Linked DNA regions of Lonchura striata. The protein of the gene in region 1 binds, or shares a complex with, the protein of each later gene. Links are inferred from orthologs where the notes say so. Each region holds a gene or a part of one and is shown on either strand. Other genes may lie near its edges. The genes, in order: UPF2 and UPF1.

The links.
Region 2: the proteins of UPF2 (region 1) and UPF1 are in contact, whole or in part, in a crystal structure (PDB 2WJV), measured with the Homo sapiens proteins. The link is inferred for Lonchura striata from reciprocal best matches to the Homo sapiens genes UPF2 and UPF1. Residues at the interface, in NP_056357.1 of Homo sapiens: Val1105, Cys1107, Glu1109, Asp1110, Phe1113, Ile1114, Ala1116, Leu1117, Met1120, Met1121, Asn1124, Leu1125, Arg1128, Met1169, Pro1170, Phe1171, Val1172, Met1173, Leu1174, Thr1175, Gln1181, Lys1184, Leu1186, Asn1187, Val1188, Pro1189, Ser1192, Gln1193, Leu1194, Asn1197; in NP_001284478.1 of Homo sapiens: Asn150, Thr151, Ser152, Gly153, Val157, Asn158, Leu160, Val161, Arg162, Lys164, Lys166, Pro175, Leu176, Gly177, Thr179, Tyr184, Cys188, Asn190, Val191, Phe192, Leu193, Phe196, Pro198, Asp202, Ser203, Val204, Val205, Val206, Leu207, Cys209.

The regions. Positions count from the first base shown.
Region 1 is NC_134607.1:67,040,308-67,055,041, forward strand, and holds the start of UPF2 (regulator of nonsense transcripts 2), read left to right. Parts: upstream 1-6,819; 5' UTR 6,820-6,949; intron 6,950-11,632; 5' UTR 11,633-11,650; coding exon 11,651-12,012; intron 12,013-13,363; coding exon 13,364-14,143; intron 14,144-14,734. Other genes in the region: DHTKD1 (2-oxoadipate dehydrogenase complex component E1), read right to left, coding at 1-61, 1,720-1,879. UniProt on the Homo sapiens protein: Involved in nonsense-mediated decay (NMD) of mRNAs containing premature stop codons by associating with the nuclear exon junction complex (EJC).
Region 2 is NC_134630.1:7,310,855-7,326,055, reverse strand, and holds the start of UPF1 (regulator of nonsense transcripts 1), read right to left. Parts: upstream 5,797-15,201; 5' UTR 5,726-5,796; coding exon 5,501-5,725; intron 1-5,500. UniProt on the Homo sapiens protein: RNA-dependent helicase required for nonsense-mediated decay (NMD) of aberrant mRNAs containing premature stop codons and modulates the expression level of normal mRNAs.

The DNA.
Region 1 (14,734 bases):
TTGGCAGCTTTGTGGCCATGTTCAGCATAGGCAGTTATTAAACGAACAAGAGCATGGTCAACTAAAACCAAAAAGAAAGCAGAACAGCATCACACATGTGCTCAGATTAAATCTACTTACAGCATCAACACAGGAATGTTTTGTCAGCTGGCAACCATCAAGGTTCTGGCTGGAAAGAGAGCTTTTCCATGCAGTTATTTCTGTCTTATTACCCTACAACAGCTCCCATCAGCAAACTGCTAAATCTGCTTCTCCATACAATTTTCAAGAAAGTACACTCTAGATTTCCCCCACAGCATAGGTTAGGTTCCTGTAAACATATGGAAAGCTACTTTATTTTGCTTTGAATCTCTTTACAACAGTAGCACTGTTGTAAACCAAAACCACTACAAACAGGTATGTTCAAGTCAAGCTCAGCACATTACCAGTGTATAGTCTTATTTCCTAAGCCAACTCAATCCTATCACTTATGCTTCCTTGTTCCTTGCTGGAATGACAGGATTGGGTCTTAACAATAATTCAGGTCCCATGACTTCAAAAAAACCAAAGTCTGTCTGCAGGAGCCAAGAGCATGTGCAGAGCCAAATGTGGTAAAAATTATCGACATGGGTAGAATTTGACCAGCTGAGAGGTCACACACATGTTACTGAGCACAAACACAGACCAGGCTGATAGACTGCAAACCATAACACATACTGCAAGCACAACTTGCTACAAATTAATGTCATGAACCAGCTTATAAAGCATTCATAATGTGGAGGGGTTTTTCATCCTGGTAAAAACGTAGCACTGACAGTAGTCAAGTCTGAAGGCTTTTGTTTTCCAAAACAATGAAATTCTCAGACCATAGCACAAGCTTATTTCTCTGACACTGGTCAGCCCATTCAAAACAGCCCCTTTTCTCTACTGGGATCTACAACACAGGGACATAACCCAGACATAAGGCTAACAGTGCCCACAATGCTCTCAGCAAGGAGGCCGTTTAAATGCAATTTTTAAAATGTTACATAAAAATATGTTAATCATTAACAAGGAGGCTACTTTGTGACGGGTCTCAGTGTCCAGGATGAGACTAATTTCACTCCTGCTCTGGGCAAAGGCTTTAAATCCTACCAGGGTCACCAGAGTAAAGTTAATGTAAGCACCAAACTCCTATCTAGAAGAGTTTACTGCTTGAAATCACCTTTCTGTACTGTAAAATGGAGCTAAAAGCAACACAGGATTGCTACAGGAGAGAGTTACCTGTATTTAATAATGAAATCCTGTAATGTTAAGGGGTTGGATGGGACCTTAGAGATCATCCCGTTCCAACACCCTGCCGTGGGCAGGGACACCTCCCACAAAGTTTTATCCCATTTGGCTTTGAACACCGTCAGGGTTGGGGCATCCACAGCCTCCCTGGACAAGCCGTTCAGTGTCTCACCACTTCAATTGGGTTAGTTCAAGCCCCACGGTATAAAAGGCGCGTGGCAGAGGTGCTTCTACGAGCAGCAGAACTCTCCGAGAGCCCCTCGCTGAGCAAACTTCAGCAGCCGGTGCTCTCACAGCCGCTTCAGCCCGTGGAGCGGGGCCACGCACCCCAGGCTCGCAGGACCCACAGCCAAGAGCTCTCGGAGCGGGTCTGCTCCGCGCTCTGCCCCGCGGGAACAACACAAGCAACACCTGAGAGCGCCCGGGCCCCGCTCGGGGCAGCCCCGGCGCGGCCCCGCGGTGTCCGACCTGCTCCGCCGGCGCCGCGTGGCTCCTCCGCCCGCCCGCCCGCCGCCTGCCGCGGTCTGTAGCCGTAGACGCCGCGCTCGGTGCGGTACCAGCGGCTCGGGCCGGCCCGGCAGAGCGCGCAGCGCACGGCCCGAGCCCCCGCCGCGCCCGCCATGGCCATGGCCGCGCTGCCCCCGCCCCGGGCCCCGGGGGCGGCGCCCGCAGCGGGGGCGCCCGGCGGCTCCTGCCCTGCCGAGCGGAACGAGCGGCGCACGATGGTCTGGGCTCCAGCGAGGCCTTTTGGGGTGCTGTGCCCAGCACAAGGGAGACAAGGAGCTGCTGCGGAGGGTCCAGCGGAGCCTCCGGAGCATCTCTCCTGTGAGGAGAGACTGTGGGAGCTGGGCATGTTTAGTCTGGAGAAGACTGAGAGGGCGTTTCATGAATGCATATAAATGTCTCAAAGGTGGGTGCCAAGAATTTGGTGCCAGACTCTTTTCAGTAGTGCCCAGCAACAGGACTAGGAGCAATGGCAGTAAAATAAAACCCAAGAAGTCCACCTTAACATGAAGAAGTTTTCATTGAGAGTGGCAGAGCACTGGGACAGACTGCTCAGGGATGTGGAGTCTCCCTCTGTGCAGACATTCACAACCCACCTGGATGTGTTCCTGTGTCACCTGCTCCAGGTAACCCTGCCTTGGCAGGGGGGTTGGACTGGATGATCTCCAGAGATCCCTTCCAGCTCTTACACTGGTGAGACCCCACCTGCAGCGCTGCATCCAGCTCTGGGACATGGCCCTGTTGGAGCAAATCCAGAGGAGGCCACCAAGATGATTAGAGAGGTGGGGCACCATTCCTATGAGGAAAGGCTGAGAGAATTGGGATTGTTCAGCCTGCAGAAGAGAAGGTTTCCTTGTGACTTAATTACAGCCTTCTAGTACCTGAAGGGAGTCTGCAAGAAAAGATGGAGATGGATTTTTTAGAAGAACATGTAGTGAGAGGATAAGGTGGAATGGCTTCAAACCAGGAGAGTGTAGGTTTAGATTAGGTATTAGGAGGATGTTCTTTGCTGTGAGCAGGGTAAGGTACCAGAACAGGTTGCACAGGGAAGTTGTAGATGCCCTACCTGTGGATGTGTCCAAGGACAGGTTGGATGGAGCTCTGATCAGTCTGGAATAATGAGAAGTGTTCCTGCCTGTGGCAGAGGGCGGCATAAGATGATCTTTCAATGTCCCTTCCAATCTCAACTTTTCTGTGATCCTGTAAACTTTGTGTGAATGCAGGTCTGGGGTACTGGCAGGTTTCCTGTCCTTAGGCTTGGTTATGCTCCTGTAGCCTCCACCATGAGGAAATCAAAGAGTATTTTTTTTGTCCAAATCAAACTATGGCATTTGCCTTTGGAACAGGTGGAACTGGATTTCAGAACTGAATCAGTTCTGACACCCCAGTTGGTCTGGGATTTTATATTCACAGTTCTTGCAGAGGGGCCACTTGTGTTCCTTGAGGCCTGTATGGTTGGGTTTATGCATATTTATAAAACCCAATATGGGAGAAAAATATAAAAATAAATTACTTTTAATGCTGCAAGGAGGGCAAAAGGATACAGCAACAGAAGGACAGTGGACATGTGGCCCATTCAGTGAAGGTGGTAAAAATGTAGCTGAGGATATTAATATTTTTTTCAATTAGAGTGAAGGAACCTTAAAAATAATGCTGCAAGATGATGTGATTTTTTTGAAGCTGACAGTGGAGAGGGAGAAAACATTGACGTAGTTAAAAATTTCCATTTTGTGCTTGGGGAAAAAGACAAATGTTGCAGGCAGATTACAGGATGATGAAATGCTTTTCCATAGTTCTTAAGCAAATACCAGTCAAACAGCAGATATCAATGTGGTTTTGCTTTCAATCATATAGGCAGTTAGTTGAATATTTCCCAATTAGCACTGATACGAATAGGCTTGAACAATAAAAATTTTCCAGTTTCTCTAGAGAGATGTTTCAGACACACTCAGAGATGTGTTCTCTGGATCTCAGAGAACTAATTATATATTCTCAGAGAATATTTGTATATATAAGTTCACTTAATAAAAGTTTAATAAAATCTAAGCATGTGTTTATGAAATATATATCTCATCAAGTCAACTTGTTAGGGTTTTTATGTGAATCAAAATCCAGTTAATAAAGATTTCACAGATTTTCCAGCATAATCATCTTGTGTAGGACATGATTACACGTGACAAAAACATTGCTATAGCTATATCTAAGTCAAGGAATGGCTTTGTTGACTTTGATTCATGTCTAAACATGAGAAAGTGGTACCTGTGCCAGGAGAAACACCACTGCTGAGGGCGTAGGCAAAGTGACTCTCCCAGCCTGGCTCTTCTGGCACAAAGCCTGTCCTAGAGAAGGCTCCTGTGTGAGGCTGATTTAGAACTACATGATGCTCTCACTAAAAAATACTAGAAACGTCCAAAACCAAGGCTATACACACTAAATAGTAAATGTCTGGCTGAGCACTGGGAATATTGTTAAAGGAATTACCCTCCTTGCCACTTCAGTAGTTAGATCAACCCAAAAAAGCTGCCCACACCTTGAGTGCTGATGAAGTTTGTCAGCTGGAGATAAGTGGTGAGGAGAGGTTACCTTCAGTCTGAGAGTCAAGATGGAGATAAGCAAACACAATTTATTTTAACAGGATGAGGTGAAAGCTTGCACTCATTGAAAGAGTATGTGCACTAAAATGTAGCTCATTTCCAGGAAACAGGGGCTATAAATAACCTCCAAAAATAATGAGAAAAAAGCAGGTGGGTCTAAAAAAATTATGTGGATATCTACTAATTCAGAAAGGAAGATAATTTGCTGGATTTGGCTGCAAGGAAATATAGAGGACACCTACAGATTCTACATTTGGCCAGTATTTGGCACAATTTGAATACTGTGTGCAAGTTTGGTGCCAGTAATTGAGGAAACATATAAAAAAATTTGGGAGGAAGAGCTTCAAGAAATAAAAAGAGAGATGCTTTATGTCTGAGATTCAGGGAACAACAACTACCTGCTTTTGATTTTGGTAAATCAGTACAAAAGCTTGATTAGCATGTGCACAAATGAAACAGGTCATTTAGGAGGAAAAGTTTGCTGAAGTTTGCTTGCGTGGCCCTTACAAGAAAGAGCTCCAACATAATTGTAGGTGTGGGAGTGTGGTATAAACACAGAAGGAGATTTTGATTCCCTTTCAAAACCATAGTGATTGCGCTTTTTATTCATGTTGGAAAGGGTAGCAACATCGTGCTTCAGAAGAAAACAAGCCAGCATCTCTTGTTGTAATGCCAATGCCACTGATAAGCCAAGTATAACCCAATTCCCCCTAAAAAGAATCATTGAGGTACTCATTGACAGGCCAAAGGATGGTGCCTTTAGAAAATAAAGTACCAACACTAACATGGATTTCCTCTCCCCCTTTTTGCCATGTTCTGCCATGGATCTTCTCCACTCCAGTGAATCAGTTTAATCAATTTGGTAGTTTAAGTTATTTTGGCAAGCAAATGAGATCTTTGTGAGCAGGGACATGTGAATGATCTGTACCAGTAACAAGCACAACTCCTTTCAAACTTGTCCAGAAAGAGGTTTTTAGACATGTCTGTAAAATGTGCAATGACGTTAAACAGCAGAGAGGAAAGCTCTCCTATGGAAAAAAAAAACAAAAAACAAAAAACAAAAAACAAAAACCTGTCTAGTCCTGTAGCAGCTTTGGCAGAACACACCTAAAGCTCTGCATCAGTAAACAGTCTCTTGCCTCTGGATAAAAAGCAACTTTAACAGCTGAATAACCTTGTTATGTACAACCAGGCCTGTGCCTGCTGTCAGTGTCCAATATTGCTGAAGGCTTGTTCTAAGCCCAGAGGGCTGTAAAGGTTTTCCCAACATAAAAGCTTCTATCAGAATCTGGATTCAAAATGTAAAATAAACACCAGATTCTCACTCTGCAGCTCTGAGCTGTGCCAGCTTTTGAGTTGCCCAAGAGGTAATGCCTTGCCTAGAACTGCAGGCAGAGAACATTTCCAACAAATCCAGGAGCTTTGTGCCACTAAACTCACCACTGTAAAATATCCTCAGATGTCCAGGTGGGAACTGTGACTGGACAAGAGGGCAGAGAGACCAAATTTAGACTAGAAAACACACCCAATGACAGAATCACAGAATGAGTGGGTTTGGAAGGGACCTCTGGAGATCATCCAGTCCAATCCCCCTGCCAAGGCAGGGTCACCTGGGCAGGTGACACAGGGACCAGGTGGGTTATGAATGTCTCCAGAGGGAGAATCCGAGAGCAGCCTCTCCCAGTGCTTTCCTCATTTGAGGTGAAATCTCTTATGTTATATTTTATGACCATTGCTCTGTCACTCAGCACCACTGAGCCTGGCACCACTCTCTTGGCACCTGCCTCGGAGATATCTGCTTGCATTCATGAAATGCCCTCTCAGTCTTCTCTTCTCCAGACTGAAGAGGTCCAGCTCCCAGAGGAGAGATGCTCCAGAGGCCTCCTCATCCCTGTGGCTCCTCTGCAGCAGCCCCTTGTCTCCCTTGTGCTGAGGAGCCCAGAACCGGGCACAGCAATGGACACCCACGAAAGCACCCCTGAGGCAGTAATTTGTTGTTCAGACACCGTCACCGCAATGTTTTATCACGGCGACACCTGAGGGCCCCACCCGCGACATGACAGCTGCCGTGACGCCTGGCGGGCACAGACACGTCACCGCAGTGACGTCATGCGGCTCCATGAGCCGAGCGGTGCTCTGAGGCCACCAGGGAAGCGACATTCAGCAGCTATTTCCCCCTCCCCCGCCGCTCTGAGGGACGCGGGGCCGAATCCTTTCCCTCGTCCGTTCCCATTCCCGTTCCCATTCCCATTCCCATTCCCATTCCCATTCCTCTTCCCCTTCCGCCTCCGCACCCCCGGTACCAGCCCGCCGGCAGGACCCCGGCCGGGCTGCCCGCCGCGCTGCCTAACCGCCGCCCCTCGGGAAGCGCCGCTCCGCGCCGCCCGCAGCCGCAGCTCTGCCGCCGTCAAGCGGCGCCGCTCCTCCCTCCGCGCCCGGGCGTGGCGGGGCGGGCGCGGCGAGCTCGGTCGGGGCAGCGCCGTGGGTCAGGCAGCGCGGCGGCGGCCCGGCCGCCGTGAGGGGAGAAGCGCTCGGGGGCCTCGGAGGGGAGGAGGAGGCGGCGGCGGCGCCGGGCGGGCCCATGTCGGCACCGGGCACAGGTACCGCGGCACCGACCGGGCGGCAGGGCGGTGCCGGGCCGTGTGCGGGCACGGGGACTCGGGCACGGGGAGAGGAGGGCACAGGGGCCTGGCGGGGGCACGGGGAGTTCCGGAGGCGGAGGGGCCGCGGGGCTCGGAGCAGGGAAGGCTCGGGTGGCGGTGCCTGAGAGCGCTGGGAGAGGCAGGCCGGGAGAGCACCGGAAGCTGCAGTTGCCGAGCTGCTGGTCCCATCCGGGAAAGGGCCCGGGCTGCGGGACAGCTGCCAGCGGGGATTGGGGTGGTAGCGAAGAAGTCTTTTTATACTTAGTGCCTTGTCTATAGGCCGCTGTTTCACGGTGGAAAGCACTTTCCTGCAAGTTTAGCAGCAAAACATTTTCCCCGAGAGGTATAGAAGCGAAAGTAAAAGTGCCCGGCTGTTCGGCAGGTCGGCCAGAAGATGTGTCAGTGGCCTGAAGTTGTGTCAGGGAAGGTTTAGGTGGGATACCAGGAAAAGATTCTTCACCCAGAGGGTGCTTGGGTACTGGGACAGGCTCCCCAGGGCAGTGGTCACAGCACCGGGCCTGCCAGGACTCCAGAAGTGTTTGGACAATGTTCTCAGGTACATGGTGTGACTCTTGGGGTGTCCTGTGCAGGGACAGGAGTTGGACTTTGATGATCCTTAAAGGACCTTTCCAAGTCAGGATTTTCTGTGATTCTGTGATCCTTCCCTGCCACTGTGTGGGGGGCTCCTCTCTCTCTGCACTACATTTTTTTTTTTCTGTGTACTGTGTCTCATTTTCCAAAACCTGTAAGTTTATTTTCTCCTCGCTGACCTTCATGTTTCTCTTATGCACCTTCCCTTGCATTAAGAGAACCTTAATTGCATTTTAGTTTTTGAAACTTGCAGAATTCTAGTGGTGTGATAACTAGTGATGGAGGAGTTTGTTGCTCTTTGAGACTTTTCAGCCAGTCAGAGGTAGGACATCTTGCCTACATTCGTTATCTCCCATATCTCTTCTGTAATAGATTAGCTGCAGAAAGGACTGTTTATATAATCCATTTAATGTCTAGTGAAAAATTTCATTGTGTTTAGTTTAATAGAACTGTATTTCCTTTCTTCATACTTGTGTTTGCAAGGATGGGGATTCTGGATCATGTTACTACAGGCTTTGAGAGTAGACTGTTTTTATTGATTTAAGGATATTGCTTTGAGGGCCAAGGTGCTGATGTTTATTGTTTTATTCTGAATTGTGAGTGGATTTGTGATGCTGAACACCATATGTTACTCTCTGCTTTCCTCATGAGTAAATAACGTAGATGGTTTTTCTGAAATGTTACTTCTGTATTTCAAAACTACTTCATAAGTCTATGAGCTCAGAGTATCATGAACCCAGTCCCATTCTTTCAAATTCCAAGATAATTGTTTAAAAAATTTAGAAACTTAAGTACAATAAAAATTGACTTAATTACAAATGAGTCACTGTATGTCAAATATTGAAAAATTAAGAAAAATAGTTCCCTCTAAAAACATGTTGTCTGTAGATCCTGAAACTGAGAAGGGGTGTTAAAACATGTAAGTATCACTACAGAAATGGGCTGCCAAGAGTCTAAAGGCATAGGGATGTTTGTCTTGTCTCTGTTTTCTCTGTCCTTCCTAATTTTCTGGTGTGAGTGTTGGTTTGTCCTGTCTGTTGGCTTATGGAGTTCATGTCATTATTATGCCTTTTCATCAGTACATTAATATAAATGTGAAATATTAAATAGAATAAAGTTTATCTTCATGTTTCCATGCCATCTTCAGCTTTGTTTTCTATGGAGATGAGGCCCAGGTGAGCCAGCTGTCTGTTTCCGTTTTCCCCGCTCCCACAACTTCAGGGAAAGTTGCCTTTGGACAGTTCTGTCTGCCTGTCACGGGAGCTCTGCCCGCTGTAGCCCCGCCTGGCTGCGGCTCCGCGCTGGGTCAGCGCGGGCGTAGCTTGGAGGCAGCGGCAGCACCGCCTCCCGCTGCCCTCGGGGTTTGGTGTCGGCACGAACGAGCTGGCAGAGCAATCGGAAAGGTTTGGGAGATAAGGAGCTGTACACGTAGTGAGAAGTATTGCAACATACCTGTTCTGGGGCACAGAACAGAATCCTACTGTAAAACGAGATTTTTGGGGGTTTTGGGACTCCAGTGTTCACTGGGAAAAATTGGATAATACTGCCATGTGGTCAGTTATGCTCCATTCCTTTTCTTTTTATCCCATCTTCTCTGGTTTGGTTTTATACAAGCAAACATCAGATACATCTTTAAAACAGAGTTCCTAAATTTGGTATGAGCTCAAGCACCATAATGATTGTGGTAAATGACCCTGTTGTTAAAAGTTAATTGTGCAGCTGGCTAGATATTTTGTTCAGAGTATTGGAATTGTGACATGCTGTTCCAGCATTTCTTTAAACATAGGCAACCCCTTCCCTCTTTGGTTAAGTACTGATTTCATAATAATACTGTTTTAAGATCGGTGGTTTTGGAATTCAAGTAGTTCTGAAATTTTATAGTTGTAGACATGCATTAGGGAGCCAAATGTGCTCCTGCTTGTTTAAACAATGCTGATTTGATTTCCATAAGTCAGTGTTAGAGACATTTCCCCTTTGATGCTGTTGCCAGTTGCTGCCAGAGGCCAAGTCATGAATAGGTTCTTTACCAACTGGTAAGTTGTCACTGCCCAGGTGTGAGTACTGGTACTGTAAATTTTTGCAATCCAGTTTTTCTTCAGAAGCTCCGGATGAGCACCTTAAATATTGTAATACAGTTTCATCTGGGTAGGATAGACAGCATATAAATATGTCATTTTATTGTTTGGGAGATGGCAGAGGGAATGTGTCATGCTTATTAAGAAACATATATTCTTTATTGTGAAGTTTTATTTATAAACATATTTCAAAATAGTTAAAATTAATACCAGGAACACTCTGCATTAGATTGGAATGCAGGTGTCTCATTATCCACTCTGAGTAGATGTAGGGAATTGGTGAATCTAGGATCTTTTCATAATCCAGAGTAAAATGTTAGAAAGGCAAAAGTAGGGGTGGCCATTGGCAATCAAACTGGTGTTATTAATAAAAACAAAGTGATGGCTCTTCACTTGAAGCATGTTAGTATGTGAAAATTATCTTTTGTGTTAAGAATTTAATTTAGCCTGAAGTAAAAGCCTGGGTGGTTGTAATTGCCTCTTGTGGTCCTGCCTGGCCCACCTGACCCTTACATGAGTCAGCAGAATGCCCTTGCATTCTAGGCTGTAGTACCAGGAGTTAACCAGGAGGCTGAAGGTGAGTCTTCTCCCTCTGCTCAGTACTTACCACATGCAGGTGTGGGTTCTCTGTTCCCAAGAAAGGCACTGACACACTGAAATAAGTCTCTTGGAAGATAACCAAAAACATAGGGAGGCTGGAGGACATGAGCTGAAGAGAATCAGAGAGAATTGGCTTCTTGATCTGTAAGAAGTGAGGGGTAAATCTTACAACTGTCTTAAAACAGCCTGATGGGAGAGTATTGTGAAGATGAAGCTGGCTTCTCCAAGCTGTGCAGGGATAGGATGAAAAGAAACAAACACAGTATGGGGCATGGTAATTTCCAGGTTGGTATTAGGAAAAGCTTTTTCTCTGTGTGTCCAGAGGGGACCACTGCTTCTCTGTTCCTGGAGATACTAAAGCCTTAGCTAAGCCTCTGATCTGCTTGGAGCAGGGGCCCGAAATAGGTGCTCATGATAGTTTCCTCCTAATCAAAATTGCCCTGTGTTTTTACCGTTTTGTGTTCAATATGTGTTACATTTTGTGTCTTTAGCCAGATGAAATCAAAGCTTGGAGGGCTGGAAACCCCAAAGATGCTAAAGCTCCTACAAAAATGTTGGTTGAGTAGAAGGAGAGAGAAATTGTAGTCTTTGATAAGTCTTGATAATTGCAGCCTTTCTGATATTTCCGTTTGCTCTGCTGGGAGGGAGGTTTGTGCATCCAGCTTTGTCAGCACTGCTCGCTCTTCAGCTGCTACTTGTGCTGAGTGCTGGAGATGCTGGGGAAATCTGGGGAGGGGTGAGGAAAGAAGGAAGCAAGTTGATGCCTTTTCACAGGGAGGATAATCTGCAATGAGGATCACAGTGAGGATAACCTGCATTGGAGCAGATTGGCCAGAGGAGTTGTGGAGTTTCTGTGCCACTTTTCTTTGACACTTTTCAAGACTGGAACTGCTTTGAGCAGGAGGATGAATTACATGAGGTCTAATCTAACCTGCATTATCCTATGATCCCAAGTAGTGGTAGTGGAAGCGGGGGCATTCTTAGGAGATATATAGAAGGGTCAATGAGGTGCAGATGCATAGTGATGTATCAAGCATGTACTTACTTTTAAGTTTGGAGTACTTTGTTTTCATCAGTCTTGAATTATTTTTCTTTCAGATGAACTTACTTATGTTCAAGATCTTACATTCCTTGGGTAGTAGAAACTTCAAGAGGCTTTTATTTCACAATTCATGCTGGAGACAGCTTTGCAGAATAACATGTTTACAAAATGATTTGTTTTTACTTGTCAGGTCCCTTCCTTAGTTGAAGAAAACATAAACCTTTATCCTGATGAGTCATGCATTTGTGAGTTAAGTGAATATGGGTGGGCTATGAAAAATGACTAAAATATCAACAGCAATTTTAAAGTATTTGTTTTCCTGTGGTTCTGCAGGTTTGCCTGGATAACACAATGCCAGCTGAGCGCAAAAAGCCAGCAAATATGGAAGAAAAAGAATCTCAGTTAAATAATAAAGAAAAAGAATTTAGTGAAAGGCGACCAGTGAGCACCAGGGAGAAGCCAAAAGAAGATGTGAAGGTTGGCATGAAGAGAGAGACTTTAAAGGTTCCTGAAGATAAAAAGAAAAAAATGGAAGAGGATAAAAGAAAGAAGGAAGACAAAGAGCGGAAGAAAAAAGAAGAGGATAAAGTAAAGGCAGAAGAAGAGCAAAAGAAGAAAGAAGAAGAAGAAAAAAAGAAACTTGAAGAAGAGGAGAAAAAGAAACAAGAGGAGGAAGAAAAAAAGAAACAAGAAGAAGAAGCTGCTCAACTGAAGTAAGTTATCTTTTAAAGGTTTAACTGTATCAAATGTTAGAGTTCTGTTATCAGGATTGTGGTCAGAGTTATAAAAGATGAAGTGTTGGAGTTTCTTTTAATAAGTTGCATGTAGTGTTACCAATTTTATGTGCCTGTCTGACTGTGCTTTATGACTTCTAAGAGGTTTTGAGTTTTCACTTGTAACTTCTGTTAGTTTGGTCTCTGCTATGGGGGTTTGTTAGTGTTCTGCATATGATGACCATGGAGAGCACAGCTGTGCTTGAGTAAATGTTGTGATTTAACCCCAGTTGGCATCAGCCCCACACAGCCACTCCCTCCCCTCAAAAGGATGGGGAAAAGAATCAGAAGAGTAAAAATGAGAAATCCTGTGGGTTGACATAAAGACAGTTAAATGGGTAAAGCAGAAGCTGTGCAGGCAAGCAAACCAAAGCAAGACTCCTCCTTGGTGGGGTGGGGTGTGGAGCAGAAAAGGCTTTGACTGTGTGTAAGCCCATCCCAGCGGTAGTGAAAACATCCCTGTGTTATCAACACTGATTCCAGCACAAATCCAAAACACAGCCCCATACAGGGTACTCTGAAGAAAATTAATTCTGTCCCAGCCCAAACCAGAATAGAGAAGCACAGATGCATTTAAGATGAAGTGTTATTGTCCAAAAATTGGGAATACAGACTTAACAGGTCTACAGATCATACATAACAGGAGCAAATCTGATGTGATAAATTACATTTACTCAGTCATAGACAACTGATACTTGGATGGCAAACTCAGAATGTAACCTGGAAGTTTAATATGTGATATTACCAAGACCATGTTTCTTATTATGTTATCCAACCGTAGTACAGTGTTGAATGTGGAATCTTTATAGGTCTGAAATATTTACCTTTTAAGATTGAGGCAATGTCATAGCCAGATTCTAGCTGGAACAGATATATTTCACATATTCCAAATTTTCTGTGTAATTTCATTAGTCTGGCAATAAAAATAAATGTGTGATACAGTAACCTGTTGAAAGGTTGTTTCCTCTTCTGTGAGAATTTCATCTTCATCTGTAGTAAATGGAGTTTCATGTTTATATTTTCAAAGTCTGTTGGGATTAGTATGTTCTGTGTAGAAATATTTGAGAAATTTTGTAACAAGTAGTCCTTGCCCTTTGCAACACAAAAATTAAGCCGAGCTTCTGAAGCAGATGCTTTAGCTTTCTAGGATTAGCTTAGTAGATATTAAAGAAGAGAGGTGAAATGGTGTTAAAACTCCTGAAGGTTTTCCAACTGTGACCTTTTCTCCTCTGTCCTGATACTCTGAGATTAAGGCTCCATAACAAAAATGAGTAATTCTTATGTCGCACAGGGAGAAGGAGGAAGCACATCAGCTCCATCAGGAGGCTTGGGAGCGCCATCAGGCAAGAAAAGAGCTCCGCAGCAAAAACCAGAACGCACCGGAGAGTCGTCCAGAGGAAAACTTCTTCAGCAGACTGGACTCCAGCCTGAAGAAGAACACGGCTTTTGTTAAGAAGCTAAAAACCATTACAGAGCAACAAAGGGACTCCTTGTCCCATGACTTTAATAGCCTGAATTTAAGCAAATACATTGCAGAAGCAGTAGCTTCTATTGTGGAGGCCAAACTGAAAATATCAGATGTGAACTGCGCTGTGCACTTGTGTTCCCTCTTTCACCAGCGATACGCTGATTTTGCTCCTTCGTTACTTCAGGCCTGGAAAAAACATTTTGAAGCAAGGAAAGAAGAGAAGACTCCCAACATTACCAAGTTAAGAACTGATTTGCGTTTCATTGCAGAATTGACAATAGTTGGGATTTTCACTGACAAGGAAGGTTTGTCTTTAATCTATGAGCAGCTTAAAAATATTATTAACGCTGATCGAGAATCCCACACTCATGTTTCTGTGGTTATCAGCTTTTGTCGGCACTGTGGAGATGACATTGCTGGTTTGGTGCCAAGGAAGGTAAAAACTGTGGCAGAGAAGTTTAACTTGAGCTTTCCTCCTAGTGAGATAATTAGCCCAGAGAAACAACAGCCCTTCCAGAATTTGTTGAAGGAATACTTTACATCTTTGACCAAACACCTGAAAAGGGACCACAGGGAGCTACAAAATATTGAAAGACAAAACAGGTGACAATTGAATGTTGCTTTTTACTTATGAATAAAAATTAGTTTATTTACTAAATGCCTAGATTTGTTGTAGTATTTATGAACAAAGTCTGTTAGCAGTGTATTCTGCAATGTTTCTAAAAAACATTCTAAATTTGTTCTGAATACTTAAAAAACAGAGACAAAACAGACTCTTTGAATATCTTTTAAAGGAAAGGGAGGTTGACCTTTAGTTGTAATTCTCTTTCCTCTGTTTAGTGCTGTTTCCTTATCAGCATGAGAGTAATGCTGCTTTCCCAGCTGGTACTGTCCTTTTCCAGTTGGCACAATCTGATTTCTCCCTTTCCACCCACATGTATCAAATGAAGCATATGCCACAATTGCTTTGGCTTGTTTACTTTTTTTAGTGTACCAGGATGAAGGAAGAAATAGGTTAAATTAAGGAAGTATCTGTTACACTCCAAGGTGGACAAATATATATTAAATAAATGTATTAAAATGTTGGAGGGTATAGACAATTTGATAAAATTCCTCCTAAATATTTACATGTAGTACTAATCTTGCAGGGTATAAATATGCAGACTTTGAGATTTTAATGATTTTATTTCTGCT
Region 2 (15,201 bases), on another chromosome or scaffold:
ATTTGGTGCTGTCTCAGCAACTTTCCCACCCCCAGCCTTTCTCCTGACAAAAATAACTCCATTTTTTGGCACTTTTACCACCAGGAGGTGGTGGATATCACGCTGGGATTTTGGCAGGACCACTGCAGGTGCTGCCCCTTGGGCTTCCCACGTGTCCTGGTTTAATTTCTCCAGCCCTGAGGGGCTTCAGCACCCCAATACTGAGCTGGGAAAGAGCCCAAAATGTGGTTTATTCTCTGTCTTCTTTAGCCAAGATCCCACCAAAAGCTGAACAGGGATAAGTTTATCTTAATCCACATTAATTTTGAGTGGAAAATGTGGGAAAGGGGCCACCAAAGTGGCTGGAATATTCGAAACACATCTGACGGGAGTGCTGGGGTCATTTCCCTATCAAAGGAATAATTACCCCCCCCCCCAATATTAGTAAAGTTAAGATTTATTTATAAATATTAACCAGCCAAATAGGACAAAAATCACTCATGGCCTTTGTCTCTGATATAATATTTGAACAACTTAGATTTAATGCAATTTAACTGGGAGGTGCAACTTAATTCTGCCAGGGAGAACACAAAACCTTTAGCAAAAGAAATCAAAAAATAAATTAAAAAGTTGCCCTCTTCATGCTGTAATGAAGCAAACTCAGCTTATTTCTCATTTAGAGAGATCCACATTAAAAATTTAACAGCCAATTGCAAGAATTAAAGGCCAAAGCCAATTTCCCACTTGTCCTGGGCCACCAGCTCTGTTTCCAGTTCTGCAAATGAAATGAGGAGCATTTAAATACAATCAATAAATGGGCTGACTTCTATTGGTGTTATCTCCAAGCTCTGCCTTTAATAGAAAGGATCAGCCCAGAGGAACCAAGAGTGCAAAAGGGAAGCTGGAAAAAGGAATCCAGCCCCACGGCAGGAGCAGCAATATCAGCGGGGTGAGGGCAGATCCCATCAGCTGCCTGGGGAACAGACTGCACAGATAAATATCCACTTCAGATCACTGCCAGCAGAGAAATACCCACTTCAAATATCCAATTCCACTTGACAGAGCCATTGTACAAAAGGTAAATAAGGCCTGATCCGGCACAGGTGGGATTCCAAAGCCTGGGGTTTATCTGAACTCCTTACAAGCATTCCCAGGCATTTCTACCCAACAATGCATTACTTGAAGGTTGGTTGATTTTAATACATTTTCTGAGTGCTCATAAAAAACCGCCCTCCTGTTTTTTTAAAAAAAGCAGTAAAGTTTGGGCTCGGTTTGGGATTTTTTAAGGCAGAAAAGGAAGAAATGTCAAGGGCAGGAGTGGCTGTGCTGTCCCAGCCCTCGGGGAGGCAGCGGTGATGTCACCTGTGCTGTGCAGCCCCAGCCCTTGGCAGGCTGTGGATGAGGAAGTGATTGTTGCAAACCCTCCTGTGATGTCAGCCCGTGTGCACTGGATTAAAAACCTGGCACGGGCAGCTGTGGTGGCAGGGGGGCCACTGCTGTGCTGGGAAAAATGTTGGCTGCAACTTCTGGCACGGCGAGTTTGGCAGCTCCGGGCTGAGCGCTGAGAGGTGCCACAAAACTACTCCCAAAAACTGCCCGGCCTGCCTCGCTCCTCTGCTGGCCTCCAAAACATTCCCTGGGACACAAAGCAAGGGCCAGGGACCGAGCTGAGGGGCAGAAAGCAGCGGGGATGGGGAAGCTGTGCCTGCTCCATCCCTGGATGGGGCTTGGAGCAGCCCGGGACAGCGGGAGGTGGCCCTGCAGGGCTGGGGTGGCACTGAAGGTCCTTCCAAGCACTCTGGGAGTCCCTGGTTCCATGAACGAGGTGACACCATGGCATGAAGATGTCACCAGGAGGTCCCTGAGGGATCCAGGAGAGCTGGAGAGGGACTGGGGACGAGGGATGGAGGAACAGGACACGGGGATGGGGGGATATGGGGAAGGGATCGTTCCCTGTGGGGATTGGAGGTCGGGCTGGAGGAGGGAAGCTCCAGGGACACCTTGGAGCCACTTCCAGAGCCTGAAGGGGCTCCAGAAGAGCTGGAGAGGGATTTGGGACAAGGACTAGAATCCCAGCACAGGGAATGGCTTCAAAGTGGGAAGGGGAATCTGGGTGGGATATTGGGAAGGAATATCCCACCTCCAGGCTGGGATGGAATTCCCAGAGAAGCCGTGGCTGCCCCTGGAAGTGCCCAAGGAGGTTTGGAGCACCCTGGGACACTGGAAGGTGTCCCTCCCTCTAGGACCTTTAAGATTGAAGGTGGGATGGAATTCCCAGAGAAGCTGTGACCATCCCTGGAAGTGCCCAAGGGGGTTTGGAGCACCCTGGGACACTGGAAGGTGTCCCTCCCTCTGGGACCTTTAAGATTGAAGGTGGGATGGAATTCCCAAGAATCTGTGACCATCCCTGGAAGTGCCCAAGGGGTTTGGAGCACCCTGGGACACTGGAAGGTGTCCCTCCCTCTAGGACCTTTAAGATTGAAGGTGGGATGGAATTCCCAGAGAAGCCGTGGCTGCCCCTGGAAGTGCCCAAGGAGGTTTGGAGCACCCTGGGACACTGGAAGGTGTCCCTCCCTCTGGGACCTTTAAGATTGAAGGTGGGATGGAATTCCCAGAGGAGCTGTGACCATCCCTGGAAGTGCCCAAGGGGGTTTGGAGCACCCTGGGACACTGGAAGGTGTCCCTCCCTCTGGGACCTTTAAGATTGAAGGTTTTCCAACCCAAATCGTGCCGGGATTCTGGAATCCTGCAGGCTGTGAGTCCCGGATCAGTGCTGACAGAATATTCCCCTCTCACTCCTGCTCCCAGCTCCCACACCCAGCCGGGCCAGCAGCAGAGCCCCAGGTGAGCACACCTGCAGCCTCCTCACCCAGCTCTGCTTGCAAGTGCTGCATTTCAAGCTGCAACAAGAGCTGTAATTGCACTTTAACTCCAGCAGGTATTCTGCCAGAGAAGTCCTGCGAGAGGCTTCAGCACCAGCCTGCTGACAGAGTCACCCCCAGCTCAGGGGATCCCCCAAACCCCACAATTCTGGGGTGGGGTGGCAAAGGTGTGTGACTTTCCCCTCGGGGCTCTGCTGGGACTGCGGGGTGAGGGAGATTCGCTTTTTTCGCGTTCCCTTTCCCGAGGAGGAAGCCGAGGAAAGCCTCGCCCCTGGGAGGGAGCAGCGAGGGCTGGTGTGGCCCGGACAGAACAGCCTTTGTTAGCAGAGCAACGAAAGGAAAGCCAGCCCCGGCGTGCTGAGCCACCCGGGAGCCCGGCTCGCCCACACCGAGCTCCCAGCAGCGAGAATTCCACAGAATTCCCGGCTGCTCTGGGCTGGGAAGGGACCCCAAAGCCCGGCCAGGGCACCTTCCTCGCTCCCACGGTGCTCCTTGGGCAGCTCGGCGATCCACAGCTGCTCTGGTTTAAATTCCTCTGAAAACACTTCCGAAAATTCTTATGTTGATTTAATTCTAGCAAACAATGGGAATAGAATTTTCTGTAGAAAATGTTTGTGCTCTACTCCTACTTTCGACCATTGGCCGCTAATCAAGTGTAACACTATTAATTAAATATATTGGGAAAGGAAGTTTTTCCCTAAAAAATGAAGTGCCCTGCATGGCTCAACTCATCTTTTTAAAAAGACCCCAGAAACAGCAGAGCAAAAGTTTCCACCTCCAATATTCCTCAGCTCCAAATACAATTATTTACTTAATTAGCTTTAATTATAATCACAGGGCTAATATTTCATTAAGCAAAACCTGATCAATTGGAGAAGTCATTATTTAAGATGCCTCCTGCCAAAAAGAATAACAAACTTCAATCATCTAGCGAGGGCAGCAAAACTTCTGCCCAGAAGTTTTAAAAAACCCCAGATTTTGTGATTTTATCAGCCCTGAGCCCATTGAGAGGGGCAGGTCTGAGCAGATCCTGGGCTTTGTTTTACTTCACCCAGGAGGAAACGGGGCCTGCTCCTCCTCTGAGAGTCCCTCCCCAAAAATGACATTTCTAACATCAAAATGAGCAGCAGGATGACCGCAAAAGTTTGCAGAAACTCAAAACCACCCTGAGTTTTTAAAAAAATCAACCCAAAATCCCTTCCTTTTAGCCAGGAGACAAAACCAGTACCTGAAGGTGCTCTCCAGAGATTTTTTTTTTTTTACTTTGACCTCAAAGGTTTTTCAAACATGTTTAGACAAAAAAAAAGGCCAATTAATTATCCTCTTGCCTGGACTTTCAGCTTATGAGGCTGATTTTGGGGTGGTTTTTCTTCTCCTTGGCCACAAATTCCCTACTGGGAGCTCTGGAGTGATCACAACCCATTAAAGGTTTAAAATTAAATGTGATTAAAATTCTCTTTTAATGTACACAGAGATTTTACTGCTGGCAGAAAATAATTCTGATCTCTCAATGCCCAAAAACTGGATCAATTCTACCAAATCCAAGAGCTGCAAATGAACAGAAAATAACCCAAGAGCTCTGACTCACAGTGACCTGAGCACACCCCTGCAGTCACCGAGCACTTTCAGGCAGAAAAACTGATTTAATTTGTGCTGGGATAAACCCCCAGCACAGGAGAAAGCCTCGCTCAGCCCTGCCCTGCACACCTGTGGAGCTGGATGTGCTCCCTGCTCCCATTCTGCTGCACTCACACACCCACCTGGGGCAGCTCCTGCAAGGAAAAGGACAAAAACCAGGCCCAGGATGTTTGGTTTGGGCATAAAAAACTCACCTAAAACTCTCAATTCCTTTTTACACTCATCCCTTAACACGTGGGTGATGTACAAGCATGTAATGGTTAATAATGGGATTTCTGTGAGGGACCTGAATATTCCACGATCTTCAAACTGGAGAAAAGTGTGGCTTTTTTAGAAATACCGGAGAGTTCTTTGGAGTTTTTGTTGTTTACTACGGGCACACTGAGATTGTTATCTTCATTTGCTGCACTTCTTGTCAGCTGCAATCCTAATTCCTCCCCTGCCTACGAGTTGTGAATTGCTAAATAAATACAATTTCATTCTCTTCTAGGCATCAACTGCAATAATAAAAAAAAACAAAACAAAATAAAACTAAAACCTGTTGTTAAACCACTAAGAACCAGAGCTCAGAACTTGTCCCTACCACACAATCCCCAAACAAACCCAACAGCTGCGTAGCGACAAAGTGGAAACTGAAATTTTAAAAAAAAAAAAAAAAATCAACATTCACAGTAATAACAAGCAGAAATTCAAGCGTTATTTTAGCGAGGGGAAGTAAAGAAGAAGCAAAGAATTTCGTCAGCGCCCAACTTTGGATAACAAACACCAGCGAAAGCTGATTGTTTTAAGGAGAAAGAACCCGAATTTCACCCCGCCTCGGTGGTTTTTTCTTTCCCTCCTCCCCATCGCAACGCCACAACTATCGCGACTCGGCCGCAAGTTTCCTGCCGGCACCAATCCCGGTGGAATCCCGGTGCAATCCCGGCGCAATCCCGGCGCAATCCCGGCTCCCGGGGCCGGGCTCCCCCCGGGGCACCGACCCCCGCTCCTCCGCCGCTCACCTGCGCTTCCAGCGGGCCCGGCGCTCCCTGCCCCGCGCCGGGGGCGCCCTGGCCCTGCGCCGGCCCCGCCTGGCCCGGCCCGGGCGGGGTCTGCGTCTGGCTGGGGAGGGTGAAGTCGGTGAACTCGAACTCGGAGCCCTGCGTGTCGGCGCCGAGCAGCTCGGCCTCCTCGGTGTCCAGGAAGGTGAGGGTCTGCGAGCTGGGGCCGTACGCCTCCACGCTCATGGCGGCGTTCTGCTGCGGGCCGGGAGGATCCGTCCTCCCCACCCTCACCCCGCCCCCGCCGCGGCAGCCGCGGGCTTCCCCCTCAGCGAGCCCGGGCGGCCGCGCTACGCGAGCGGCGGGATGCGCCGCGCGCACCAGGCCGCGCGCCCCAACCCACACGCACAAACGAACCCGCCGCCGCCGCCGGCTCGCCGGGCGGCCCCGGAGCTAACGGGCGGGAGAAGGGAGCGGAGCGGGCCCGGGAGTGCGGCCGGGCTCGGTCGCTCGGTCGGTCGGTCGGTCGGTCGGTCCGTGCGGCCGCGGCCGCCGCGCGCCAGGCCCGTGAGCGGTGACGCGGAGCGCGCGCGCGCGCGGGGGGGCGGGGGGGGGAGGACGCGCCGGCGGCAGCGCGCGCGCGCGCGGGGGGGGTGGGGGGCGTGACGCACGCGCAGCACGCACCGGGGAGGGGAGGCGCGGCGCGGCGCGGCCGCCAGGGGGCGCGCTGCGCGCCCACGCAGCCCGCACGGGGAGGGGGCGGGGCTTGGCGCTGAGTGACGGGTGTGGCGGCCAATGGGATGGTGAGGTGAGAGGGAGGGCGGGAGGGAGCGGCGCGCGGAGGGAAGGGGCGGGGTTTGGCGGTGAGTGACGGGTGCGGCGGCCAATGGGAGATCGAGATGAGGGGCGGGGGCTGAGGGGGTGGAGAGGTCACTGTGAGGGGATGGGGTGGCTGGGCACCCGTGAGGGGTCACTGTGAGAGGATGGAGTGGCACTGGGCACTTGTGAGGGGTCACTGAGGGGATGGACAGGTCACTCTGAGGGGATGGGGTGGCACTGGGCACTTGTGAGGGGTCACTGAGGGGATGGACAGGTCACTCTGAGGGGATGGACAAGTCACTGTGAGGGGATGGACAGGTCACTGTGAGGGGATGGAGTGGCACTGGGCACTCGTGAGGGGTCACTCTGAGGGGATGGACAGGTCACTGTGAGGGGATGGACAGGTCACTGTGAGGAGATGGGGTGGCACTGGGCACTCGTGAGGGGTCACTGTGAGGGGATGGGGTGGCACTGGGCACCCGTGAGGGGTCACTGAGGGGATGGACAGGTCACTGAGGGGATGGGGTGGTCACTCTGAGGGGATGGGGTGGCTGGGCACTCGTGAGGGGTCACTGAGGGGATGGACAGGTCACTGTGAGGGGATGGGGTGGCACTGGGCATTCCTGAGGGGTCACTGAGTGGATGGACAGGTCACTCTGAGGGGATGGACAGGTCACTGTGAGGGGATGGGGTGGTCACTCTGAGGGGATGGGGTGACACTGGGCACTCGTGAGGGGTCACTGTGAGGGGATGGGGTGGCTGGGCACTCGTGAGGGGTCACTGTGAGAGGATGGAGTGGCACTGGGCACTCCTGAGGGGTCACTGTGAGGGGATGGGGTGGTCACTCTGAGGGGATGGGGTGGCACTGGGCACTCGTGAGGGGTCACTGAGGGGATGGACAGGTCACTGTGAGGGGATGGACAGGTCACTGTGAGGAGATGGGGTGACACTGGGCGCTCGTGAGGGGTCACTGAGGGGATGAGGTGGCACTGGGCGCTCGTGAGGGGTCACTGAGGGGATGGGGTGGCACTGGGCGCTCGTGAGCTGTCACTCTGAGGGGACGTGGTGACACAGGGCACTCTGAGGCCACGGGGACACTGTGGTGACAATGGGGTCACCTGTGCCCACCATAAGCTGCCAGCTCTGCCTGTTCCCTTGGAGCTGGCGGGAGGGACACGGGGTTAAGTGGGAATTAAGGAGCGGGAATTACATTAATTCCTGCTCCAGCTGTAATTCCTGTCCCACCTGTAATACCCCACAGCTCTGAGTGAAGGCTGAGCTGCTCTGGGCGTGCTGCACTGGGCATTCTCTGAGCTCAGGGCCGTGCAGAGAACATTTCTACCTTGAAATAAACCAAAAACTTAGAATTTACCCTCATTCCATTCGATCAGAACACAATAAATCCCTTCTTAGTGTTGGGAAAGGCTGGATATTCAGTGCCTTTTCCCGTCCACATTGAGATGCAAATATGTATCTTCTCTTATAAATAACTTGGATTTTATATTCTTGCTTTTGGTGTAGGATAAAGCCCAGCCTGAAACAACATGTACCAGATCTGCGGCTGCTGGGCTGAAAAGATGGAGATTGGAAAACATCCTTGTCCTGGGAATATTGTGCAGCAAAAGGATGGGAAAAAACCAAATCCAGGGAGCACAGGAGTCTCCACTTCTGCAGAGAGACTGAGTTCAACTTCCTTTGAAGCAGAATAAACTGTTCAGACCAAAGCATAACGGGGAGAAGCATAAAATAACATTTGAAGATGAAAGTGGAGCCGGAGCGGGGGGAAAAAATTATAGTACAAAGCCAGGTGGCTGCTTGCTGCAAACACTTTTATTTATTAATAAACACACCTCACTCCTAACGTTTGGCTGCTTGACAGAATCCTCAGAAGTCTTGGAAAGGGATCAAAGTTGTGCTCTCCCTGTGCCTGCAGAGCTCTTTAGGGACAGGCTGGAAATTCCCTCTGTGGGTTTGTCCCCCGAGGGTGGCCCTGGGGACACTCCGGGGCTGCTGTCTGAGGTGCTGAAGCTGCAGATCCCCCAGCACTGGAAAAGCAGCTGGAAAACCAAACTGGTTTAAACTGGAGGGTGAAATTCTCTTTATAGCAAGGCAGAGCAGAGGCACGTGGATTTTGGGATGGCTCTGCTTCATCGCAGCGCTGGAAGCTCTGGGGGCCGCTTTGAAGCTTTTCAGGATAAAATGGATGCACAGCCAGACTGCAGAGCTGCCAGGCTGCATTTTCTGTATTTTTTTTTTTTTTTTTTGGGTGTTTTGTGCAAGTTTTCTGCCTCAACCCCGGGCTGCTGCAGAGGAGAGGCTGTGACTCACTGGGCTTGACTGCTGTGCTGCCAGTATGGAATTTAAACGGGCACAAACTGGCACAACTCCCTGCAAACGCTGCTGAGTTTCCCGTCGCCCTGCAGATCAGAAGCTGGGATTCACAAGGAGATAAAAACGTGAGTGAATTCATATTTTAAGAGATGCTTTCTGCTCGCAGGAGGTGCAGAGGGGATTATGCCGAGGTGCTGATGAGGAGTGACAAACCCAAGCAGCTGGAGGTGCTGGAGAGAAATCCCAGCCCTGGAAATAAGGAGAGGCCTTTCCTTGAACCTGGTTTGAATTCCAGAGCCCAGCAGCTCTGGGATTTGCTGGCATCCTCCTCCTCCTCCTCCTCCTCCTCCTCTCGGGGCTGTGAGGGGAAGGCAGGGATGGGATTGGTCTCCAGGAATTCCCAGCCATGGAGATAAGGCTGGAAGAGCTCTGTGACGTGAGGGGGGCACAGCCAATGGAGCCCAGGCTGGCCAAAACGGGGGAAAAGTGGGATATTTTTATCCTGGCATGGAACAATTCGGGTTAGGGGGAGTGAGGGTGGAGCAGGGAGCAGGTGGGGAGGGAGGAGCTCAGGGGAGCTCCCACCCAGAGCAATAAATGCACCCAGGGTGTTGATGAAGGGCAATAAATGCACCCAGGGTATTGATGAAGGACAATAAATGCACCCAGGGTGTTCCTTAAGGACAATAAATGCACCCAGGGTGTTCTTTAAGGACAATAAATGCACCCAGGATGTTCCTTAAGGACAATAAATGCACCCAGGGTGTTCTTTAAGGACAATAAATGCACCCAGGGTGTTGATGAAGGACAATAAATGCACCCAGGGTGTTCTTTAAGGACAATAAATGCACCCAGGATGTTCCTTAAGGACAATAAATGCACCCAGGGTGTTCTTCAAGGACAATAAATACACCCAGGGTGTTCTTTAAGGACAATAAATGCACCCAGGGTGTTGATGAAGCAATTTTATCGCTTTATCTCCTCCCTGCTCTGTTCACATAATTTTATTTAGTGCTCAGGGAGCTCAGAGGGTTTAAAAATCACAGAATTCCAGGATGGTTTGGGGTGGAAGGACTTTAAATCCCATCAATTCCCACGGGCAGGGACACCTCCCACTATCCCAGGTTGTTCCAACCCCATCCAAGCTGTCCTTGGGATGGAGAATCCACACCAATCTCTTCCAGTGCCTTCCATAATAAAGAATTTCATCCAAACGCTCAATTTTCTTCATTTCCTGTCTCTGTGTTCTGCCTTTTTTCTTCCCTTTTTACTTAAAACAAATCCTAAATGAAAATACCTTAATTTTTTACTTATTTTACCACACCTGAATACCAATAAATGAAAGAATAACAAAAAAATCTGTTTTTTAAAAAAATTAAAATATTCTCAATGCTGACAAAATTACAGTAAAGTAATAATTATTCTTTTTCTAAAGGGTTAAATCCATAGGGAAAAAAATTGGGAATGAGTTTTTCCAGTGCCATTTCTCCTGAGTTACCACGAGAGGGACACAGAAGGAAAGCAAAAGGAGCTGGGGAAGAAAGAATCCAAGGACCAGCTCGAGGTGGGATCATAGCAACACATTTCCCTTTTGTTTGGGAATTTCTGGGATCACAGCATTCCTACAAATCCCATAAAATCCTCCAAAATCCCTAAAATCCTAAATTCATCCCATTAAACCTTAAAAAATCTTCACAGATAATGGGCTGAGAAACCTGAATAGTTAAAATAGTTTTTTTCCCCCCCCACAGATTTTCCTCATTTCCCATCAGCTTTTTCCCTTTGGAATGTCAGCACAGGGAGAGGTTGGGCTGGCTGGGATTTTGTTCCATCCTGGAGCAACAAATCCCACAGGATTTTGTGGGTTTGGGGAGGTATTTTTGTTTATTCCCACTGATTTTTTGTTTATGGAGGCTGGGGAGGTATTTCTGTTTATTCCCAGGGAATTTTCACTAATTAACAGCTGATGATGCAAATGCCAGGAAATCCCAGATCCATAAAATTCCTGCATGGAACAAAGGCCCCATGAAAGCCCCTGAAGTAAATATTGAATATTTCGTGGGCTCTTGTGGAGTTAAAGATCCCAGTCCTGAAATGGACTGGAATCCATTGGAATTAATGCAGAGTGGATTTTTAGGGACTCATCCTTAATGGCAGCAAAGCTTCACTTCCAGCCCTGGCTGGGCAGGCTGGGATTGGGATAAAAACGCTGGAAAAAAGGAAAATGGGAGGAAAAATCCCTTATTTTTTAAGAATTATAACTTTATGGACTTCAGTCTTGCATTTTACAATGTGACAACATTTTAATATCACACTAAAAGGCCCATTGAGTGCTGGGACCCTGAGTGGTCATTTAAAAATATTTATACTTTTATATATTTAATAACTATTTCTATTAATATTATATAATATTGTATCTCTATATTTTATAATTTTATACTCATATTTGTATATTATTGTATATACCTAATTTTATATTTATTTATATAACTTAATGTTTTAATATTTATTTTTGTATTTTTACCCGTTAATACCCAGAATGCTTTCACAAGCTAAGAACATCTCCAAAAAGTGTTATTAAATAAGTGTAAGAATGTCTTTAATTTACCAGAAACTTTAGTACAACAGGAAATGCAAATCCAGCTCTGATTTCAGCGGGGAAGATTTGCAGAAAAGGGTTTTTCCTCATGATTGTTTTTTTTGTTTTTCAGCAAATTGTGATAAATCTGATTAATTCTGCTTTATCTGCAGGTTTAATTGGGGATACACAAATATTCCCAGAACAAGTCACAGGGATGTAACTCCATGAGGGAAAAGGAGGAGAAGATTTTAGCCAAAATCCAAGGATTTTGAATGAAGAAAGTTCTCAGAAATTAAGGATGGTGAGTGACATTAAAAGATAGCAGATAATAAAAGCTAACAGATAATAAAAGATAAATAATAAAAAATAACAGCAGGAGATGAAAAGGAAATGAAATTTGGTGCTCTAAACCAGCTCCAAATGGATGCTATATATAAATAAATAAGTAAACTCCAATAAATTAGGGTTGAATATTAAAATAAGAATTAAAAATACTGAGTTTCAGTGGGAAACTTGAAATCCTTCTCTCCAAAATCGTGTTAAAATTCCCTTCCCTTGAAAAGGTCTGAAACAACAGGACAGGACCTGGATTGGAGGAATTAATGTAGGGAAAAAAGCTTTTTATGGACAGAACTTGTGCCTTTTTTAGGTTTTTAGCTGCAGAATCACCATGTGAAGTTAAAACTCACCAAGAAAAAGCCAAGAGTTCCTAAAATCCAAGGGAAAAAATGCTGGAATTCCTGAATTTATTCAAGGAGATCTTTGGGAGGATCTGTTCCCTATTAAAGCTGCCTCTGGAAGGAGCAGAATTGTTAAAAATCCTCAATTTCCAAAGGGGCATAGACAGCTCTTGGGGGAATAAAATGTAAAAAAAATTAAAAAAAGGGATTTCTCCAAAGCAGATGTTGTTGGAGCTGAGCTTAAAAACAAAATGTGGAGCTCTTGATGGGCTCCAAAATGTCCCTGTTTGTTGGGATTGCTGGCAGCCTTCCTGGGCAGATGGAGGTGATTGTGGAGTAATGGAAAATCCAGGCTCCCACAGGCTGGGATGTGTGTGTGGGGCTGCTGAGCCTCCCCAGAAAGAGAGGAAAATGGGGGATTTCCAGGTTATCCCCTGGAAATTTGGGATTGGGTGCACTTTCAGCAGGTTTCGGATGTGGTGATAGCTGACTTCTCCTCAGATTTCGTGCTGATGCAGGTTTTTAATTCTGGGGCGGGCAGAACGCTCAGGGTTAAACCTGAGGTTGGGTTTGCATCTTCAAAGCACAAAAAAAAATCACTTCAAAATCAGGAATTTTGGAGTCCCACCCTGGCTTTTTCTGTGCTTTCAGTGTAAGGGAATAACATATTTACATTCTCTGCATAGAAAATAAATCCTCCCAAGGAAATCCTTCTTTCCTGCTGTGGAGAAATCTTAATTTGGCTCTTAATGTAAGGAATCAATAATTGGGATTTGGCTGAGTGTCCACGGTGTGTTTGGCCACACCAGGACTTCCAGGAGGGCTCCAGGATTAAACACCCTCATCCAAAAATGCTCTGAAACTGGAAAATTTAATTTTCTGGCCTCCGTCCCTGAAGAATTTTCCTTTTCAGTCCCTTTTGATGTTAAATTTGCCCAGCTTGGCCTTATCTTCTCCTTGCAAATAGTCCAAATTTGAAAAAGAAGGAATGTAAAGTCATTTCTGCTTCCACACCTGTAGGAAAAACTGGTGATATTTCATCAAGTGTACGTTTCTTTTTCATTTTTGCTGAACAAAAATCAAGCAGAATTGAGGGACCCCAAAAGGGTTGGGTGTCGCAGTTGTTTTGCCACCGTGGAAGGCCTTTCCAAGGAGCTGTTTGTCGTGTCTGGGGGGGCGGTTTTAGGAAGGGGAAGGAATGTTTTCCTTGCAGAATTCTGTGGATTTCTGGAGGAACCCAGCCAGGGCTGCCCTCAGGCCGTGAATGGTCTCAGTGTAGTTCTGTGAGGCCTTCCCAGAAGTCAGGAGCTGCTTGGAAATGAACCCAGGAATGCCATCAAACAGCCTGGGACGAGATCAAGGCGGCTGTGGGCTCCCAGGCTGCCCCACATCCCCCAGGGGGAACATTCCCACCCCAGAGGGCACCGACACCCCAAAACAGAGGGACCCTTGAACTCTGGATCCGTGCTGGGAGGTTTCCCCTCGTCCCACCGATGCTCAGGGCTCTTCCAGCTGCTCCCTTTGCCAAGGATGCTGGCTCGTCCCTTTTCCACGTGCTCCCACAGCCTGGGGAGGATCCTGCCCCCAGCCCGGCGGCGCTGGGCGCTGGCTGCGCCTCAGGATCGTGCTGGAAACACCTCAGCAGCTGCTCCGTGCAAGGAGGCAGCGTTCCCACCGGGAAGGGCGGCCAGCTGGACAGGGAATAACGCTGCAAAGGCCGTGGAAATTCGGGGAGAAGGACTTCTGCCATGCTGGTCCCTTCAGAATCACCAGCAGAGCCATTCCAGAGCCTGCCACAGGTGCTCCGGTGGACGTGTGGCCTGGTGGAGCTGCTGGATTCGGAGCAGGGCCTGTGGCAGCACAGCAAACCCATGGAGGAGTCTGGAAACTCTGAACTGGGCCGCTTCTGCTAAAAACGGCACCGCTGGCCTTGATTTATGAGCAAACAGAAGGCTGCAAACGGCCTCGGGAGCCTGGCCCAGAAATCCATCAGCCTGATGTCATGTGGAGAGGGCCCAGAACACAGAATTATTTTTATGGAGTTGTTAGCAAGTGTTATTAAAAATTTGAAAAGTTCAATTGGATTTTTTTTTTTTTTGGCTATAGGATGAGGGCAGAGCAGAAGTCCTGGGATGGATGTGGACAAGACATTCCAGTTCTAGGCCACCCTTCCTGGCTCCAGATGAGAACACGGCTTTGCTGGAAGAGGGGATTGCAAAAGGGGATGTGAGGGAGGTCTGGAGAGCAATAATTTTAAACAGCACTTCAGCCATGATGTCATTTCAGCTGAAAAATAATGTTCGAGTTTGGGCAAACAGAGCCCGGGGCCAGCAGCCAGGGTGGGGAGAAACTGCAGCAAAATGGAAAGTCCAAAGCGTGGAAGGTCATGGTGGAAAACCAAATCAGAATAACCCTGAAGAAAAGTGGCTAAAAACCCTGGAATTTTCTGTGAGCATGAAGATTCCAAGGAAATGGAGGGGAGGAAGATGTTCAAACCCTGGACAGGGTTTTCACTCCTCTTGTCTGGAAGTCAGAAGCCAGATCCTGGAGCACAGGAACAGCCTGAAGGATTGTTGTGACCCCAAACTGTGATCCCAAAGTGATCCCAAGCTCTTCTCCTGGGATTTAACCCAAATCCAGCCAAAATCTGCATCCACATCCTTTGCCTGAGAAGGCCAAAAGGCTGAAACAACCAAGGGACGTTGTTCCAGTGGATTTGGACATCAAAAATACCATCTAAAAACTGCTTTGTGGGGTTTCTCCCTCACGGGCTGAAATGGAGGATCACCCTCAGGCCAGGCTGTAGCCTCAGCCCTTTCCATGGGGTTTTAATTGAATTCCCACTAATCCAGCCATAGAAAGCTGAGGCTTGCTCAGCCTTGGATAAAGCCTCGCACATTTTGTCCTTTTCTCGTTCCCTGTTCCACCACAAACCTCAGCTGGGGGGAAAAAACCCAACAAAGCAAGCGGAGGAAGGGGCACCTGCAGCTGGAAATGACAAACAGCTCCTGTTTCAGGAGGAGATTTAGGACTTGGAGCTCCCCAGGAACAACTTCTCTTCCCGCTGTGCTGGGAGCCAGGAATGAGCTCAGGCTGTGAGATCAGATTTTGCTGAGTCTACAGGGTTAGGCTTGTTCTTTCCTCTTTTCCAGAAGTTCCCCTCTCCAAGCCATGCCTGGATATTTGATTTCCTGGGGAAATCTCAGCAGCTTTTGCTGCCTTTTGTGTCCGGGACACTCAACTGTGCCAGCAGAAAAAGTTGCTTTTGTCATTCCCGTTTCTCCACCTGAGCGTGGGATTCCTGGAATCCT